4 linked regions of the Arabidopsis thaliana genome follow. The protein of the gene in region 3 interacts with the protein of the main gene of each other region in a pairwise test. Each region holds a gene or a part of one and is shown on either strand. Other genes may lie near its edges.

What was found.
Region 1: the proteins of IAA16 (region 3) and HB21 interact in binary tests that used the Arabidopsis thaliana proteins (3 or more experiments, as listed by UniProt).
Region 2: the proteins of IAA16 (region 3) and TIFY8 interact in binary tests that used the Arabidopsis thaliana proteins (3 or more experiments, as listed by UniProt).
Region 4: the proteins of IAA16 (region 3) and MYB15 interact in binary tests that used the Arabidopsis thaliana proteins (3 or more experiments, as listed by UniProt).

What each region holds. Positions count from the first base shown.
Region 1 is NC_003071.7:681,603-686,460, reverse strand, and holds HB21 (homeobox protein 21), read right to left. Parts: upstream 2,827-4,858; 5' UTR 2,631-2,826; intron 2,173-2,630; 5' UTR 2,160-2,172; coding exon 1,227-2,159; 3' UTR 965-1,226; downstream 1-964. UniProt on the Arabidopsis thaliana protein: Putative transcription factor.
Region 2 is NC_003075.7:15,715,238-15,720,907, reverse strand, and holds TIFY8 (TIFY domain protein 8), read left to right. Parts: upstream 1-2,040; 5' UTR 2,041-2,205; coding exon 2,206-2,452; intron 2,453-3,145; coding exon 3,146-3,315; intron 3,316-3,407; coding exon 3,408-3,664; intron 3,665-3,742; coding exon 3,743-3,839; intron 3,840-3,951; coding exon 3,952-4,177; coding exon of another isoform or gene 4,178-4,242; intron 4,243-4,248; exon of another isoform or gene 4,249-4,386; coding exon 4,387-4,475; 3' UTR 4,476-4,676; downstream 4,677-5,670. Other genes in the region: AT4G32580 (Thioredoxin superfamily protein), read left to right, coding at 373-543, 618-692, 794-1,030; AT4G32560 (paramyosin-like protein), read right to left, coding at 4,873-4,935, 5,020-5,142, 5,251-5,331, 5,545-5,652. UniProt on the Arabidopsis thaliana protein: Repressor of jasmonate responses.
Region 3 is NC_003074.8:1,287,164-1,292,735, forward strand, and holds IAA16 (indoleacetic acid-induced protein 16), read right to left. Parts: upstream 3,729-5,572; 5' UTR 3,253-3,728; coding exon 3,050-3,252; intron 2,601-3,049; coding exon 2,329-2,600; intron 2,242-2,328; coding exon 2,106-2,241; intron 2,011-2,105; coding exon 1,949-2,010; intron 1,868-1,948; coding exon 1,830-1,867; 3' UTR 992-1,829; downstream 1-991. Other genes in the region: RALFL21 (RALF-like 21), read right to left, coding at 5,245-5,562. UniProt on the Arabidopsis thaliana protein: Aux/IAA proteins are short-lived transcriptional factors that function as repressors of early auxin response genes at low auxin concentrations.
Region 4 is NC_003074.8:8,307,350-8,311,932, forward strand, and holds MYB15 (myb domain protein 15), read left to right. Parts: upstream 1-1,859; 5' UTR 1,860-2,142; coding exon 2,143-2,275; exon of another isoform or gene 2,276-2,354; coding exon 2,355-2,484; intron 2,485-2,680; coding exon 2,681-3,275; 3' UTR 3,276-3,561; downstream 3,562-4,583. Other genes in the region: AT3G23255 (tRNA dimethylallyltransferase), read left to right, coding at 4,446-4,537. UniProt on the Arabidopsis thaliana protein: Transcription factor involved in cold-regulation of CBF genes and in the development of freezing tolerance. May be part of a complex network of transcription factors controlling the expression of CBF genes and other genes in response to cold stress.

The sequences.
Region 1 (4,858 bases), on a different chromosome or scaffold from region 3:
GTTGGATAATTTATATATATATATATATATATATATATATTTTATATTGTTATAGTGCTATAATGCTATGTCAATCTTGAAGGAGATAAAAATATATTTGAATAAAATGACGTTTCAATAACAAAATAATAGTAATGGCAATCAATAAACTATGTCAGTTAATTGAATTTTTATCTTCCACGAAATACGCAATACGCAATTCATTATTGATGTTTTACTGAAATCGAGTGATAAACTATAGGCATAAAAAATTATACTACTATAAAACAACAAGTGAAAATGTTACATTTAATATTACAATAAATGAAACATGTGATATCACAAGGAACAACAACATCTTAAAATCGTAACTCCATTTTGATGCATGACATATTTTATCCCATATCACATTACACGACTTGCAATATGCCAAGAAGTCACATAAAGTAAATGCACATAATTGTTCAAATAAAAGAAAAGGTCCATAAATGAGTTTACTAGTACACCAACCAAACATTTACTCAACCTAATACGTCATACATATTAGGACTTGACTTACACTCGCCAGGACAATCTCCAACTCTCTCCATTGATAGAAATCGTAATTTATTGCTCTCTTTGTTTTCCGTGCAATTTATTTTTCGATCATGAGAATGAAAATATTTTTTCAAACTAGAAAACAAAATAATAGAATCAAAGCAAGACCGGATGTTTAAAAAACAAGACAAATCAAAAAAAAATATTTTGTTAAATCAAAACAACGACAAAAAAGAAACAAGACAAATCAAAACAAGACCGGCGTAAGATTTAGGTAACTAGTATTAATTTTGTTATGGACTTTGTATGATACACTTCCTTTAATAAATATCAGAATTCAAAAAACAAAAACAAAAAGAGTTACCTATGAGAATCTAAAATTCTGCTACTCACATAAATAGTAAACGTGACAAATGATATCACGAACTACAAAGTCTAATGATTCGAAGTAAATAATAACAGTGCACATCCCAATGCATTGGTTAAATCGCCAAGAATTTTCTTAAACATACATTATAAGAAAACATCAAAAACTTATCTTACACGCTCCAAAACCAAGATTATAGGTACCCTAATAAAACACATGTTTATAAAGCTACCTAAACAATGATTAGCCGAGAAAGGAGAAAACATTAACCATACGATAAGAAAGTACTTAATTAATTAAGTAATCACATGAGTGAAGTTATATAACAACAATCTGAACTTAACTAAGGATTAGTAGAAGCAAGATTTTCAGTAATGTCGTTATTACCAGCAGAAAGGTCGACATTGTTACTAACGTTGTTGCTCTTCTTGGAGAGATTTTGTTTGTTGTTGTGCATCCAAACTTTAAGAACTCTTCTCCTAATTCCAATCTCTTGACAAAGCTGTTGAACAACAGATTCCTCTTGTCTCTGAATCTTCCAACCAACTCTTTCCGCAAAACTAATCATCTTCTCCTTTTGCTCTTGTGTAAACTTTGTCCTAAACCTTTTCTTCTGATTATGTCCGTAACTATACGGTGATGGTGGTGGTGGTGGCTGCCGGAATGTCAAGCTTCCTCCGCCTTCTTCCTCCATAAGATCCTCTGACTCTGAGTTGGATCCAGCGGTTGTAACGCCAATAGGCATTATCATTTGTTGTGGTAATGGTGATTTGATCATCTTGTGGTGGAACATGAGTTTTCTCTGCTGCGGAGGTGGTTGGTGGTGGTTGAGGTAAGGGGAAAAGAATGTTTTCTCTTCACCTTCGGTTTCTCTTCTATGAAAGTTTCTATGGCAGTTGCAAACTGAGCAAGTGAGAGCTTCAATGGAACCTTCTTCACCACTTGGCATAAACTCTCCACAACCATCAATGGCATTGCCTCCCATGGTAGCTGCATGGTTCTTTAGGCATTCCTTGTACTTTATCACCACAGGCTTCTCTTTCTTGATGTTGGTAACCATGATGTTGTAACCCACATGATGATGATGAGAATGATCATGATTTTTACCAAGACCATTACTATTTGAGGAGACTAGTAGTGGGTTTGAAGTAGTAATGTTGAGAGATGATGGTGCAGAATTGGCATGATGATGATGGTTCATGTTCCCATGCCCACCTCCACTATTACCATAACTAGTGTTTATTGGAATAGGATCTTCTTGACTTGCAATCTCCATTCTTTTGATCTATCTGCCAAGGAAATAAACACGATTTTATATTTAAAACTTTTTTTGGGTTTTGCAAAGTGTTTCTTGGTTTGGGGACAAAGAAACTAGTTAGGAAGAAAAAAACAAGAGTAAAGATAATTAATGAGTAAAATTCAAATGATTAAGCTACAAAAAGGCAAGAGCTTTCTTCACTACTCATTAACCCCATTTTTTTAATTATTTCCTCCAAACAAAAAGAAAAACCCTAATTTTAGAAGGTCCATAAAGATAGAGAACAAAACGAAAAAGTACAAAAGAAAAGAAAAACTTATTGCAAGCCTGCTTAAGCAAAAGCTGACAAACCCACTTGAGAAAGAAAGGTCTTATTCCAAGTGAGAGGTTGATGATAATCAAGAAGACAATCTTTATTGTATCACCAAAACAAAATTGTTCTATTTAAACCAAATGAAAAAATTGACTGAAGAAGTTAAGAGCACATACCCACAACCAGAAAGAGCAGCAAACTTTATCTCAAAATGAAACCTTTCTTGAGAATAACCACAAGGTTCTGAGAATAGAGAGAGGCTAAGGAGTTTAGAGATTTAATTAGGGTTTTATAAAGTGATAGACTTTGAAGAAAGAAGATAAAGAGAGAGAGAGAGAGAGAGAGAAAGAGAGAATTGCAGGTGGGTTTTGGATGTGAAGGCACTTCTTAAACTAAGGGCTTAGAGTATTAGTAGTGAAAGCCAATAAAGCATGAGAAAGACACATGAGAGCCATAGCCATAGCTAATTATTTCCTCACTTTTCTACAGACAAAGAGAAAAAAGATCATTAATTAATTACACCTAGTTTTCATTTTATTAATTCATATATAGGATATTTTATTCAATAATGTCTCTACCAAATTAAAATTTGGGTGATAATATATAGACAAAAACAATACAATTGTGATCAAAATATGGAAAAGAAAAAGTGTAGCTAAATTATTTGAAACAAAAAAAGCTACATCATTTAATTTAAAATTTGAAGAAACAACAACAATCACTAAATTAGACTTTATAAGATAAGTAGTTATTCATTTTTATATACATTTTTACTCATGAAATGTCATTTTATAATATTGATATATCGCAGTCATTGATGAATTGAAGGTTATATTGAATATAAGACCATCCTCATTCTTCATTGGTGATACTTTGAGGGTGTCTTTAAATTAAAAATAATAGAAAAAGATAATTTAATGTTTTTAATTGTGTAATAGTGTCTTTAGAAAGACATTTTAGATCTCTAAAATAGAAGCTGTCTTTAATTTAATTTTAATTTATTTTTGAGATATCTACAAAGGTATGAGTAATGTGGATGCTCTAAGATTTTCATATTCACCCAAAACAAATTATCAGTAAAGGGAAAGAAAAAAAAGAAGAGAGCCAAGAATTAGGATTATGGGAGATTGCTTGTCTTGCACTATCAGACATCAAATTTACAACAGTGTAGAAACGTGTCAGATAATTAGTGGGAAGAGTATTGAAGTAGATAACAAAGAGAAAGTCATAATAAATAACAATATCTCATCTTTGTTCCAAAACATTAAATAACTAAAAATTTGGTAGTAAGGTATAATAATAATATTTTTTACCATCTTAAAATTTAAAAGTGTGAGATTGATACTAATTCAAAACGAAAGAATGTTCTAAACATTACTATAAAGCCTTAACTTGTTAAGCTAGTTAATTAAAAACACATATTGTTCCTTTACCCTTCGGCCTTCGCCATTAATTATGTCACGTATGATATTAGCTTCAAGAGGTTGTCATGTCATGCTTGTGAATTTATATGATTTACTTGAAGTTACTATTAATTATTGGTCCTACCAAATATGTGCACTTATATACCATGATCATCCGTTTTCTGGAACATACAATTGTGAGAAAGAATCAAAAGATAAACAATAAAATAAAAATATCATAATCAACTGATAATATAGTTACTGAAATATATTCATAAACCAAAGTTTGTTACGAGTTTTGTTAAGACCAAAATCTCGATTATTATTAAGTTTTGATAATATAAAGTTTTTGGTTTATATTGCGGGCTATCAGTGTTGTAAAATTAGACTCTATGTTATAGATGATATATGAACAATTGCTCTTGGGTGGCAGAATTGTAAATTTTGGCCTAAAAGTATATATAGTAAGTCTTGGTAAATAGATTTTTTTTATTGCTTTACATTTTCGACTTAATTATCACTAATCCCTATTTTTATATTTCTTTAAAATCAAACAAATGAAAACATCAAATCACCAATACATATTAAGATTTTACCTGAAAACTATTACTTTCTTGCTTAAGATTATTATTTCTGCTTCTTGATGACTAATGTTTTAAGATATATTTTTCTTTTTGACGGTCAAAAAATATGTTTCATTTTCATGTTTTGACCTTTTAGGTATAATTGTTCTAATCGACAAACTTAATTCGTTTTAGAAAAGTTCTAACAAACACGACAAGTTGTTGTCTCAACTACGGTGGCGGTTGTTCCTCTAGGTGAGTGGGGACTAATCTCATTTTTATTGATTCGTAAAAGAAGCACTAACTACCAAATTGCGGCAATTGCTAATGACCATTCAAGTCTTAATTACACAAAACACAATTAAGAAATAAGAGCAGTTCACTTTCTTAGTTTATAATTTCCTTGTGACCTTGTGGGCTTTTATTTTATAATACAAA
Region 2 (5,670 bases), on a different chromosome or scaffold from region 3:
GATTACCAATTGTGCAAACAATCATATCATATAGTATACTTTGTTCGCCATCTTACTGTCACTTAAACAACAAAATTCACTATCATCGTTTAGCGGATTATTTTCAACTATATAACCCAGTAAAAGATAGTTTACTTGTCATGTGGTATATTTGACAGTTATCAAACTTTTGAGAGTTTGTGACACGTACGATACAGACACAAAATCAAATCTCCCTCTCCGACCATTTTTTTTTCTTAGTTACATAAATCTCTTTTCCTTCTCCAGCAACAGAAGAATTCTGCTCGATAATAGATTGGTAATCACAAAAAGAAAAGAAAAAGTGTTGGAGATCCTTCCGAGAGAGACGCGACATCTCCTTCCTCTTCGAAGATGAGTGGTACTGTGAAGGATATCGTTTCAAAGGAGGAGCTTGATAACTTGCGCCACAGCGGAGCACCACTCGTGCTTCACTTCTGGGCTTCTTGGTGTGACGCTTCGAAGCAGATGGATCAAGTTTTCTCTCATCTCGCTACTGATTTCCCTCGTGCTCACTTCTTTAGGGTTCGTCGTCTCTGTTCGAATTTTATCTCTTTCAATTGGTTTTTGACTTTGATTGGTTTTATTTATCTTCTTAGGTAGAAGCTGAGGAACATCCTGAGATATCTGAGGCTTATTCTGTTGCTCTTGTGCCGTATTTCGTCTTCTTCAAGGTAAACTTTAGGCATATTGATTCTTTGTTTGGTTGCAATTTTTTGGCTTATTGACAAAGCTTGAATCTTTGTCACTGCACTGAATCCTTTTCTTATTGAAGGATGGCAAAACTGTGGATACACTTGAAGGGGCAGATCCATCAAGTTTAGCTAATAAAGTTGGCAAAGTTGCTGGTTCTATTACTCCTGCAAGCTTAGGGTTGGCTGCAGGGCCAACGATTCTTGAAACTGTTAAGAAGAATGCGAAAGCTTCTGGACAAGACCGAGCTCAGCCTGTATCTACCGCTGATGCTCTCAAGAATCGTTTGGAAAAACTCACCCTGTTATGTTATTCATGAATGGTACTCCTGAAGAGCCTCGATTTTTAATATCTATTGAGTACTTTCTTTATAGTTGGAATTCTTGTGGATATATATCAGGTAGCTACTTGGAGCAAACATGTTGCTAAAGTTGACCTGCTACTGTTGTTTGAAGAACACGTGCTATGTCTTGTCGTTGAAGGAATTATGTTCATATGGGAAGAACATAAGCCTACTGGAAAGTTTACCCCTAGCTCTATTGTTAACCCAGATACTTGAGCCTCCATATCACAAACATCTAGTTAAGGTTTGTGTAGTAAGAACAAGAAAAACAACACGTGTTCCCAATTCCCATATAAATGACCATTATACTTCTATCAACCCAATTAATCACAGTCCGGAGACTAGTTGATTAAAAAATCAGCTAATACTAATTTGGTGGTTTCAATAAACATCTTAAATACTCCATAATTAAACTAGATTAAAGTGGGAAAAATCGTCATGAGTAGTTGTAAAATCGATTTCATTTAAGAGTATAGAAATTCGTCATGAGTGGTTGGTTCATGAGTTCTCTCTCTTACTCATATTAGAGTAAGAAATCAAACACTTATAATCATTCAAAATTCAACAACTCTCATCTCAAAACCATATATTTAGGTAAAGTTATATGCATACATTTTGCATTTTAATTTTAAAACAGATTATTTGGCGCGTAATGATAAAATTATGTGTATAAAAATTATTTAACTAATCGATCTAACAACCACATATGAGTAAAGTAGTTAACATTGTACTACTACACCAAATTATAGTGTGTTGGTTAGATTAGATACACAAACTCACTTTCTCAAATCAATAACATTATGAATCTATGATAACCTTAATTTAAAAAGAGTCTATAATGCCATGATTTTACAATCGTACTTTTTTCTTTTGGGCTGAACTTTTAATCATATATTATTTGAAAGATGTGATTATTATAATATTAAAGGGAATTAAAATCATGTAAGAGAAACCCAATAAAGTAGCTTGAAGAAGAAAAAGACAAGCTTTATTATACACTTACCCAGAAAAACAAAAAACAAAAAACTGATAATATCTCTCTCTCTCTCTCTCGTTGAGTGTGTCCATGAAATAATACTCTGCCAGAGACAGAGAGAAAGACTGTAACGGAGGATGTGGTGGCGAAGTGGCCACACTGACACACTGGTTTCATGATGGTGAACCACAACAATGGCCAGCGACCCACTGATATTGATTCTCGTCTCCGACAGACAGAACAAGATAAGCTCTTGTTCCATGACTTTTTAGGCTCCAAGAATCCTACTTTAGCATCCACTTCCATGGCTGACCATAGGCTACCACCGGATAATAAGGCGGCTAAAGCGGCGATGACTCCTTCCACGGCTTCTGCTTCCTCCGCCGGTGGACTCGGCGGTCTCTCCTCAACCTCCGATCTCGGTTCTGCTCTGTCTCTCTATCTCTCTCTCCTGATGTTTTTGTTGTTGTTGACGTAGTGTGCTTACGCTGATGAGGTTTTGAGCTGATTCCTCTGTACATTTAGGGTTTCTATCTATAGAAAGTTCAACTTTTGTTACATAGATTCGATTTAAAGTTGGATTCTTTCTTTTCCCCCTAGTCTGGATTAACGATCGAGCTTTGATTCACCATGATTTGAAAATGTAAGAGATCATGTGAGTTAGTTTCAAATTTTTTAGTCAATTCATTTATGATTAGATCTCTTAAGTTGAAAATGGAACATCTTTGGGTTCATAAGGTTGAACAAAATGTGAATGTACATTGTCTTGTTTCATTTCTTGCCTCATTGCTTTTTTAGTTCGACAATTTAAGAAACATGAACATGGATTGTGTGTGGGCATGTGGTTGCTTGACCTCTTGTAGTGTTAAGGACTCTCCCTCTCTCTCTCTCTCTCTCTCTCTCTCTGCCCAACCATAATGCCCTCTGGTGGATTAGTTGGGACATTGAGAGTGAATTTGACTGATGAGTTTGGTGGGTCATAGCCATTTGAGGTTGTGATCCTTTTTTATATGAATTGGCCCTTCTTTATTGCCTCTCGTTTTCTCTCTCTATCTCCTTGAGTTCCCTCCCACAACAATCTTTAAGTTACTTATCCATATTTTATCATTGTTTAGTCGAAAGACACAGCGGCGGTGGGAATCATCTTGATGGGATACAATTGTTTGGACCAAGAAGTGATGTTTCTGGCTCAATCATGAGCAATCGGTTTTCAGGAAATAAGAGAAGTAACTCTGATTCTCACTTCACGACTCAGGAGCACCCAGAGACTCTGCATTGGTCCAAGGTAACTAAAAAAAAAACAGAACCTACACAACTTCACCATGGTCACAGCTACGTAGAACTCAGTTTCTGTAATATGTCATTGTCATAACCTAGTTGCTTAGAAACGGACCTGGAAGCTTCTCCATGAATGTGAATCCTTTGGCAAACCAGCCTCCACGCGGAGGAGGACAGATCAGTCATTTGCTTCATCAGCTGTCTACTAGCAGGTTCAAAGATGAGAACGTAGGCCCATCAGTTATTGCTCAGACAGCTGCTGATGAAGGTTCACGAACAGGGATGAAAGGTCCCGGTATCTTGAGTTCTTTTACAATGCCAAACTCAAGCAAGCTCGAAAGTTTTGCCCCTTCAAAGTCAGTTAGCTTCTAGTGTTTTGTGTCTCTGGTCTTTCGATACTCTTCGAGTCATTTCAATACACTTTGTATTTGCAGTACCGGAAATCGGAAAGACTTGGCGTCGAGTACTAAGCAAATGACCATCTTCTATGGCGGTCAAGCTCATGTCTTTGATGACGTTCACCCAAACAAGGTGATTCTCCCTAACACTTATACACTTGATATTCAAGTTATTTGACTACATTTTGATATCTAAAAAGGTAGAGAATTGAGAAGTTCATCTGATGAATGTTATTTTTTTGCAGGCGGATGTGATAATGGCCTTGGCAGGATCAAGCGGAGGCTCATGGTCTACGGGTTTGTCTCATAAACCGAAGTCGAAGAACAACACAAGTGACGGTCCATACAAGCTAGGCCAAATGTATGAAGGAGGCAGCTCTAAGGAAACACCACAAATGCCCCCGGAATTTCGTGCAAGGCCGAGTCATCAACCTACCTCCAGTGCCTGTCACCGGATCTTTACACAACCAGGTGACTTCTTTTTAAAGAAAACCAGATTTCAGCAGAAATTTTGGTTAGCTTCTTACAAATACTGAGTGGAGTAGAGTAATCAGGTCTTATTTTGCATTGTGACATAATAAAATGAGGATACAACAGTAAAGAGTTATCAACTGTTCTGGGTTTTATCAACTTGAATCTGTTTGAGGAGCCATAAAACCATGTACATGTATGATTTGCAGGTAGAGAGCATCAAGGAAGCATCATCTCAAGGGGACGAGATATCAGAGATCCGGTTCACAGATCAGATCCTGAAAAAGAAGCCACATGATTAAAGTCTGAATATGAGAGACGATGAGTGTGGCTGTTCTTCTAAGTTGTTGTTTTTTTTGTTTTTTTTTTGTTTTTGGTCAACTTCTTCTAAGTTGTTATTTGTTGACTTGATAGCTTTGTACAATGCTCTGTACCTTTCTAGGTTTGTATTCAAACTCATCTCCTCAATGATTTAGAGAATAATATTTTCTCATAGCTCATATATAAACATATTGGTCAACCAAACCTACTATTTCTAGGCCTATCGATTTTCGTATATTTCCATGTAAGGCTGAGCATATGGATACATCACATCACAAGAGAATCATATCTAAATCAACTCTGGCTCTACTCTGGTTAGCTGTAACTCGAAAGGAGAGTCACTTCATATCACCTTATTCAAACCCTTCTTCGAGTCAGAGGTGTTCGTTCATGGCAGATATATGACTTCTCAGCCTCTCATTCTTAGTACATTCCTCCTGCCATTGAGAAATTTAGCACTACGTAAGTAGATGACTCTCGGGCTTTTCAGTATAAACACTTATTTCCTATCTTGTGCTAACCTGGTATGCTCTTAGTACAGTGTAGCATTTTCTTTGCTCTGCAGCTGCAGCTATATACTTTTCTTTTGAAGCATCACGGAGCCTCTGCTCTTCTTGAAGCCCAAGTTGTATTTTTCCAATCTTCTGCACTTTAAACATTTTGTTATGACAAATCATACAGCTATAGATAGGTAAGATGGGTTAGTTCATGCTTTGTGCCTCAAATACCTGATTCAATATAACTCAGATTACCTGTTGGATTCCTTTCATGACTCCTTCCATTGAATCAATAAGCTTCACACGGCCAGCAGGAGTACCAATCACGTCTTGAAACTACAATCAAGTCAACGGAATTATGGTGAAACTTTGACTCACCAAGAGATATACTAAAAGGGGAAAGCAGAGACGTAAATCAACTTAGTAATGAACATAAGCTATTCTCAACGATATAAGTACATGACAACTAAAGGTACAACGTGGAGAACAGTACAAAGCAGATGATGCTAGTTATAGAAAATCAACAAAATAATAATGCCTGTATTTTACCTGTGAACCTATGGAATTCAATAATGATGTCTCCTTAAGCATCAAATCTTTGATTTCTAAAAGAGCATTGTATGTTGCATAGAGCTTCCTAGTTTGTTGAAGTTTCTCCTGTTTTTAGTCAGATAT
Region 3 (5,572 bases):
TTGTTTGTTTGTAGAAAATAGCAGCCTAGTAGATAAGAGTCGCTCTCATTTGGATAAATATTGAATTTCGATCATTGACTAATCAAAGTTAACATAATCGGTCCATTGAATTAGCCATTTTGGATTATTTAAAATTTTGTTTCTCAAAACTCACTTAGCAGTTTAACAAATTTCTTCTATGATGCGTAAGTAAAAAAGCAAATCTATCCGCTTCCTCGTAATTTTTCTTTATTGACACGAGATGAATTTTCAGCTTTGATCTAAAATAGTATAGAGACTGGGCTGGCGAGCCTACAGATCTTTAAGTGTTGACTTCAGTCAAAGTCAACTTGAATTGTTTGTCTATGGGCTTAACGGGCAATACGGGTTTGGTTTACCGAAACTGAGCCCATATCAAGTCCGCTTCAAATTGTTATAAGTTGGATAAAACAGAGTACACGAGAGAAAGAGAAGAGCGAAGAGAGTATTCTAGAGTGCCCGGACCAAATGGATAGGGTAGCTGTTATCGGGCCAAAGGCCCATTAATATTTAAGAAAATTGATGAAAAGCCCATTATTATGAGAAAATGTAAGGCCCCAATTTTTTTTCCCTAGTGTTAACCATGGCCCAAAATGTTTTTCCCCCCAAATTACTTAATTATTGTTGGGACGAAGCTGTGCTTCTTGTTTATTTTTGTGTATCTTTCATCTTCTTGTAATCATCTTTTGTGAATCTGTTTTTTGAGAACCATCTTTTGTGCATTTTGTACTTGTTAAGTTACAAGTTGTAATTCACAACGAGAGCAAAATCAGCCAATTTATATTGAACTAAGTATTCTACAAACAAGTAAATACATGTGGTGAATTTGACAACCAAGGATACAAACTAGATCAAATTTACTAAAAAATCAGATAAATAATAAATAAAACAAATATCATCATTATCAACCATTGTTTGTTGAGGCAATGGATGTCGATGACAGCGTAAAGCATCAATAATGGAGCATACATATTAAAGACATTATTAATTTACTCGGAATTCATTAAAATATTGTCCCCCAACAACTCTACATTATCCACATGCTCTTGCCCTTTCCACCACCCACATTACCTTGATCTATTTAAAGTTTTTTCATTTGTGTTTCACCGAAAAAACACCAAAAATTGATAAATGTAATATTAGAAATAAAAAAAAACAATAATTGAGGCCAGGCCAACCTTATTAAAAAAGAAAGAAATAGACACTAAACACCAATTGGATCCTGTTGAGGCCAACCTTATATATACGCACGACAATAATTGGTCTTCGAGTTACATTGATACAAAAAGATCCGCACTACTAATCTTCCGTTTGTTGGTTTTACGATTGTTAACCATCTCATGTCATTTAGCTCCACTTATTGAAAAGTTACTAAAATAAAGAATAAACAAACAAAAAGGTATAATTTAAGGTGGTTGAAAATGTTGGATAAAAAAAGATTGTTGAGAAATGAAATAATGTAAGTAATAATTTGGTACGTCAAAGTAACACATTAAGATGCCTTACGGACACAGACCATATAGACAACACGATAATGCGTAAAAACAAAAGTTGGTTTTAACGGAAATAGATGCAACCTAATTAAATATACATATTAATATATGTATATAATACATATAACAAAAACGATTTAATTTTTTAAAATGTAATACACCACAATATTAATATTATTATTAATTAATATTATAAGCAAACTCCTTGCTCGGAACAATAGTTTCGAGCCGGTTTAGCTTTCTCGGTTCGAGATATCCAACCGATCGAAACAGGCTTTCTTCCTTTTTTAGGTAAGAACACGAAATGTCGTCGAGAACTCAACTTCTGTTCTTGCACTTTTCTAATGCCCTTGGAGCTGCAATATATAGAAAATTAGTATTAGCAAAGATTCATAGTATAATTTTACACCACCAGTTTTGGATTAAACAATACTAACCAAGTCCGATTGCTTCTGATCCCTTCATTATTCGTATACGTTTGCATGAATCAACAAACATCCTAAAATAGTCCAAACAACATGTAAATAAATATTTTGTATAGACGTATTTATAATAATAATTCATATATAAATTTAAAGATATAAAAATACTCACTCCCACGGTACGTCTCCTACAAGCATCCAGTCGCCATCTTTATCTTCATATGTTGGAACATAATCTGATCCGTTTAGAAGATCGATCAATTTACTCTCATTCATGAAATCTTTCATTCCTTGTGGTCCATAGTTGCCTGAAAAATAAAATTTCAAATTTCAAACAATATATGATAAAAAGGATCATGTTTTAGTAGATAGATATATTGTCAATTTTTATTTACCTATGGTAAAAGAGCTAAACATTTTGCTTAAGGCGTTGGAGAGATCTTGGTAAGTTTTGTAGAGTTTCAAGTCAATTTTCCGTAGGTACGGTGCACCGTCCATGCTAACCTTCACATAAGCCACGGTGGCACATGCGGAGGCGGATGAGGTGGCTCCACTGCTGCCAGAAGTCTTATCGTTTCCTTCGGTGGCATCTCCGGTGGTCGGTTTTTGGCCGGACATGACGTTCTTGCGGAAAGATCGTACCGGTGGCCATCCCACAACTTGTGCCCTGAAATTTCGTAATGATTTTTTTTTTTTAATTTCAATAATACTCATTACTTCTTTTTTTTGTAAAATGTTTGTAAATGATCTAGTTGTTCTACACGTGTCGGATGTTAGGTGGTTGTAGTTGTCCAAAAGTTTATTTAATCTTTAATCTTTTTGGTAGATAAAGAAAGATTCCTTATGTTTTGTATTTTTCTAGTTCTTCCCGACAAAAAAATAATCAAACAGACTCTCAACCTAACTACAATTGAAACATGGAGCAAAACCAAATAAAAAACAAAGATCTTAGGAGAAGTATCAGCATAATTATTCCGTTCGAGTTCCCTAACCTAGCTAGAAATCATGTTAAAGCGTATACATCTCTACATAATGACCGCCTAGTATAACCTAATTTTACCGAACCTAGAAGACAATATTATTAGTTGAAATAGAGATTGAAATTCAGTTTCTTACTTGGCTGGTGGTTTTACGACCTTCTCCTTCATATTCTCTAAATCGACTTTGGAAACTGAATCCATAGCCGTCGATGAAAGATTCAGTTTGAGATCAACAGTCTCAGAAAATCCTCTTTTACCATTATTTTTTCCAGCCATTTCTCCTCCGTGATTCCCACCCGGTAGCCCTAATCTCAGCTCCGTGGCCTCAAAATTAATCATATTTCTCGATATAATGATTATCAACGAGTAATTAGTTAGGTGATCCGATCGACAACGAGTAGGAGATTCTTCGGCTTCTAGGGTTTTTCTTTTAGTTCTTTTGATATTTTTTTGGGGAACTAAAACGTTTGAAGAGAGAGAGAGATAGGGGGATGTGAGATGTGTGTAGAGAAACAAAGGGCTAAATATTGGATCGTGTGTGGTATAAAATTATATATGGAATTGATCATTGAGGATGATTATTTGAACGGAGGTGATGTTGCCAGGTGGATGCTGGGATTGGTTGGACCGTAAGGAGTGTTGTCGGGAGAGAATGATGTCACGAATGGCGTCATTTTCCTGAGAATAATTGCGGCCAAGCCAGTGGGCAAAGGCCAACTTGGCACAGTCTCTCCTTTTCTGTGTCGAATTTATCCACCCAAAATAAATTCTAATCAAACTTGAAATATGAATCATTTTTACCACTCGCATAAAAAGGTATACCTCTTCTTTTTAGTACTTTAATCAGTTTTTACGGCAAAAGATATTCGAGTCTTTTGAAAAAATATCAAAAACAGAAATATCAATTTGATGAAAAATAATAGCAAAGAAAAAAAAGAAGAAAAAGACTAAATATATAAATAAAGAGTGTTTTGTCGGAGATTATTTTTATTTAATTGGTGATGGTTTATATGAAAATGGAATTAAAAAATGACAGCTAAGACATAATGGAGCCCACAGATGGGAAAGAAATCGAAAGTGGTCAGCTTCAAACATGTGTTTTGATTCCCGTGGATTCGATTCGTTCGTTGTCCTTCTTATGGGGTCCGCCATTCACAAGGCCTATTGGCCTATGCTTGCCTTTTTTTAAGACTATTTTCAATTTCTTATATTATAAAATGCCGACAAATACTAATTGAATTCAAATAAATTTTAAAGTTTAAACGAACTAAAAGTCCTGGTCTGCCATAGCATTTTCGTACTATACTTCCCATGTGCCCCTGTGGCCTTGTCTTGGCTCTAAATTCATGGATTATTGTGAAGTCAATAGATAATTAGGGATTCATGTTAATTCAAGTAATTGTGCGTTAAACATGATTACCAATTATGTAATTAGGAAACATTCCTTCCGATCAATGATTATAATATAGTATAATGCTGGGAATAATTTAATCTAGTGCTAATTTTTTTCTATGCAGGTGCAAATGCTAACTAATTCTTATGTGTATTGGGTTATATAATCTTCGGTGGGGAGGGCCAAACACGACTAACTCAACAGTAAATGGTCAACCATATGTGGTATGGGCGGCGGTACATGTCATGCCCATTTCGTCGACCCTAAAATATGGTAATGTAGTATTTTTTCACAAAGGAGCATAATAATAATAGCGTTGATAAATAAATGGCTCCATGCAAATTATATATAATAAAATTATAACAGCATAATGATCATCAACATCATTTATTGCTAAACATCATCATGTTCATGCCCCCATGCATGATTACGATGGAAGAATCTGACATAAAAAATTGAAGGTCCAAATTGACAACGACTTCATCTTAATCTTATAATCTACATGTCAAGAATTTTATATAAATAAAATTGATTAAATTTATATAGGTGAAAAATTTCATATAAACGTGAGGAGGAGGAGGAGAATGAGATAAAAGGGTCCACCTGGGCCCAAAAACACCAACCCTGTTGAGAGATGTTAGGACCCTCGTGTGGGCTGGGCCCAGTCAAAAATCATTGTCTTGTTGTGTATAACAAACATTACAGGTTCACACGTGTGACACACTAGGTCCTTAAATGCTATGAATATATGTGATCTGATTTGTTTTATTTTACCATTAATAAGAAGGAGCTTAAATCGAACAAAACTGAATGATAAAACAAGATTTCACCACTGTATATATCGTAATACAATAATACATGCTGAAAAATATTAAGGTAAATGTGTAGATGTAGAGAACAACATGGCTTAAACACAACCAAACCCATAAATTTATTATTCATGGATATTGGATATATGCATTATATGCATTATTATAAATTAATTGACCTCGTATTAACATTTTTCTAGAAATTGGTGCAGGGGGTGAATCGCGTCTACATCTATGTATTTTACTACATCCCCGTCTGTAAGGATTCACTGGTTGTTCGGAGGGTGCACATGCAGAAGGATACCGATGATGATCACAAGGAAGATCAGGCTTCAACCCTGGATACCCAATTACTTTTCCAACCGTCATGTTCATGCTGCTTATGAACACACATGCTATGAATGTTGCCACTAGCATAAACCTATTTGTTATTTTCATATTGCTCATGATTTGTGTT
Region 4 (4,583 bases), 7.0 Mb from region 3:
TAAAATTGCATAATTTAGAAAAATTATGGATTTATAGAATCGCAAAATCAAAAATCGAAATAAAAAGTTGAATACTAAACTCAGGCAAAAAAGATGAATTTGAATAAACTAAACAAAATTAAATAATTGATGTTTTGGTTTCATACCATATCAAATCTGAGAAAGAAACAAAAAGATAGAGATGAAAGTGATTTTCACATTAAGCTGTGGATTATGTTTACAACGAAATACATATAAATATTATATTTATTAGGCTAGCAAAACCTTAACTAAACCCAAACATGATGCAATTGATAATTTGTCTTTCTGACCCAATAAACTGGGTACATAAATTTTATATGTCAGTATGCTTCATGTTACAGTACTTTAATTATTTAACACTAGTAACGCAAAAAAGATTTTTTAATAAATGATCATTTAATCATTATCATTCTTCATTAAACATTATTTATTGTTTTCTAATAAAATATAATGATGGTTTAATTGTTAGTGTAAATTTATATGGTAAAACTAAAACCTGTAGGTAAGCCTCTTTTCAGTCTTTTGTTGACCAGAAACTTTGAACAATAGAGTTCTATTTTAACAAATACTAACAAAATACAGAAGAAGGGTAAAGTTTTAGGTTGAAACTTAAAAGGGTGCGATACGTGTGAACGCGTTGGTCAACAAATACTATCACGAGCTGTTCTCTTTCCCGCGGACAGATATTGATTTTTTCGTGTTCTATTTTTGGATTTTGTGGCTGGTGTAATAATAATATTAAAGCATATATACTAGTATAAAACTGGTAATTTTTCGTAGAGGATTGTTTTCTCAAAGCCCAAACAGTAGTTGCAAATTTGTAATAACCAGATTTTGAAGTAAAATAAAATGGTGAGGAAATTTTAGAATAATTTATTTATCAAAAAAAAACTTTAGAATATGTTACATATTTGGTAGTTATAGTATTGTATCAAATACACATATTAATCGAATTGTTTGATAAAATGGAAGTAAATTATTTTTGACTGAACTATGTAGCACATATTTATTTTATATGAATCTCAAAATCATTTATATAATTTATGAAAAAGTTAGTTTTTTTTCTATTCGATACGTTAACAATTAATTATGACCAATAAATTGTTTTAAGGCATTCAGCAGTCTAAAAATAAAGACTGAAAATGGCGTCATAATAAACGTAAATGCAGTAAATATTATTCCCTCTATTTTTGAATATTTGTAGTTTAAAATTTTTGCACACAAATTAAGAAAACATACAAATCTCATTTAATTTATCTCTTTCTTATAAAAATATTATTAATTACAATTAATCCAACCAATAAAAAAATATGATATAAAATATAATTGGTTAAAAACTATTAAACACATTTAATTTTGCATAGAAAAGTGAAAACAACACTTATAGTAAAAAAAATAAAAAATCTTTAAATTACACTTAATTAGAAATAGAAAGAATACAAAACGTACGGATGTTGTTAACCTAAACACGATTACTACCGAGACTAAAGATGTCTAAGTTTAATACTAAGAAAAGTAAAACAATTTTTCGAGCAGATATATGAATAGTGATTTTTTGGGTCAACACATAATCCACCCAACGTTGATTTTTGTTTGTCGTTTACAATCTCTAAAACGTTTATTTTCTAAGAAATATACGTGTGGGCTCATTTTAATGCCCTTCGTGCGTCTACCCGACGACTTTGTTTACTCGAAACTATATCACACACTACACCACATATTTCAACATCACACTGTATACACACATTTATATATACATGCAGACCGATTATTATAATAATATTTTCTCCGGTCCCTAAAACATATATATCATTCATTCCCACATGAGATATAATATTATGTAAAACATACTTTTGACTATGTTGCCAATAATCAAAAAGACATCTCTCTCTCTCTCTCTCACATCCTATTTTCCAAGAAGCTCACCAATGCTTTTGAATTCTCCCACATGTCTTTTGACAATTTTAGTATAAATACTCAAACCCCTTAGTCAGTCATTCTCATGTTCATCAACAGCATTTGATCTCAAGCTCATAGGAATTTGATCTCCACATTATATCTTGATCATCACCACAAGAAAAACATTTCAACTTCTTTTATCAGCAATCACAAATCAAAGAGATGGGAAGAGCTCCATGCTGTGAGAAGATGGGGTTGAAGAGAGGACCATGGACACCTGAAGAAGATCAAATCTTGGTCTCTTTTATCCTCAACCATGGACATAGTAACTGGCGAGCCCTCCCTAAGCAAGCTGGTATGTAAAAATTATAATATCAAATTTCTTAATTTTGATCAAATTTCTTACATTAATTATTGGTAATTATTATTTACAGGTCTTTTGAGATGTGGAAAAAGCTGTAGACTTAGGTGGATGAACTATTTAAAGCCTGATATTAAACGTGGCAATTTCACCAAAGAAGAGGAAGATGCTATCATCAGCTTACACCAAATACTTGGCAATAGGTATTTTACTTCACATATAAGTATATAACCGACACACAAGTTTTATTTTGTTTTCTTACTATATATAAATCACCAAAAGAAAGTAACTTTATACACACGTCTAGGTCGCACTACTATTCTTTTAACTACACAATGATCGGCTCTTTAATTACTTTTGTATTGATGTTCTTCGTTTTCCTTTTGGTATCATCTTTAGATGGTCAGCGATTGCAGCAAAACTGCCTGGAAGAACCGATAACGAGATCAAGAACGTATGGCACACTCACTTGAAGAAGAGACTCGAAGATTATCAACCAGCTAAACCTAAGACCAGCAACAAAAAGAAGGGTACTAAACCAAAATCTGAATCCGTAATAACGAGCTCGAACAGTACTAGAAGCGAATCGGAGCTAGCAGATTCATCAAACCCTTCTGGAGAAAGCTTATTTTCGACATCGCCTTCGACAAGTGAGGTTTCTTCGATGACACTCATAAGCCACGACGGCTATAGCAACGAGATTAATATGGATAACAAACCGGGAGATATCAGTACTATCGATCAAGAATGTGTTTCTTTCGAAACTTTTGGTGCGGATATCGATGAAAGCTTCTGGAAAGAGACACTGTATAGCCAAGATGAACACAACTACGTATCGAATGACCTAGAAGTGGCTGGTTTAGTTGAGATACAACAAGAGTTTCAAAACTTGGGCTCCGCTAATAATGAGATGATTTTTGACAGTGAGATGGACTTCTGGTTCGATGTATTGGCTAGAACCGGCGGGGAACAAGATCTCTTAGCCGGGCTCTAGTTAACATGTTTGAGGAGTAAAGTGAAATGGTGCAAATTAGTTAAGGCTAAGAAATTCAAAAGCTTTTGTTTACCGAGAAAAAAACACACTCTAACTCTTGATGTGATGTAGTTAGTGTATTAATTAGAGGCTGCGTTTTCAAAAAATTGAATTCATTTGTTTCTCCAAAATTGAGTAGTTTAGCTTGTACGAGTAATTAATAATCAATGACAAGTAATCAAAGAGTCTACGTATATTAATATTGCCTTGTTGATGAAATAATTATCCAACAAACATTGGATGCCACTATAACAACAACAGCAATTAAAATAATATAAGTACTAGATTAATTCACTGTTATAATCATTTTCTAATGAGGTTTTGAAAGTTCAACTATGGCGGAAAAGGTAAAGTTACGTAGTTTTATAATAAATAACTTGAGAAAAAGGAGCTTAATGATCATAAACATTTTTAATTAAAATCTCAAATCTCTAAACATTTGTAGTTTATGTGTTAACGACGTCTATGCGTCATCATCCAAATTTAAGCCCCATATTGATGACAAAAAATATTTAAATTATAATTATACAAAACATATAAAACTATTGATTACGTTTTTTTTGGTAAGGAAAACTATTGATTACTCTTAAACTAGATGTTGTCCTTTAAGATAATAGCCCACCAAAAACAAAATCGAGATAATAATAATCTAATTATTTTTAAAAATTTAGACACTGCTTTGTATTGTAATTTTTGAATATCTAATTCATAACATAATTAAGGTAGCTTAAAAGAAAAGAAAAGAAAAAATTGTGCCCTTTATTTGAGAAAGGTATAATTGTGTGAAGTTAAACGATGACGTTTCTTTGGTACCTTAAATATTAATTTGTGTTTGATAATTTATTGTCTATAGATTGAATGCTTTGTTACATAAATGGGTTTGAATCAATGGATAATGGATTAAAGAAATGGATGTTTACATTAAACAACCACACAAGTATACCGAACCGAAATTGTTTGATGGCTTTGTTATAGACCGAACCAGGTTTCCAATTCGGAACCAATAATTATTAACCTGAACCAAATCGAAATTTGCCGTCTCCGAATTCAACCGAACCGAAGTTTTTTTTCCGGTTTAGGAGCTTCGTTTTATTGTTGATGCTTCAATTTCCCTTTGGCCTTTGATACAAAATGGTAGAGAGATTCTTCCCGACGAAGCGGAGCTCCGGCGACGAGAATCACCGTCGGGGAAATCTCTCGCTTCTCTCCGGTCCAATTTCCTCGTATCTTTCTTCCTCAGACGCTTTTCTCTTAAATTTGATTCTCTCT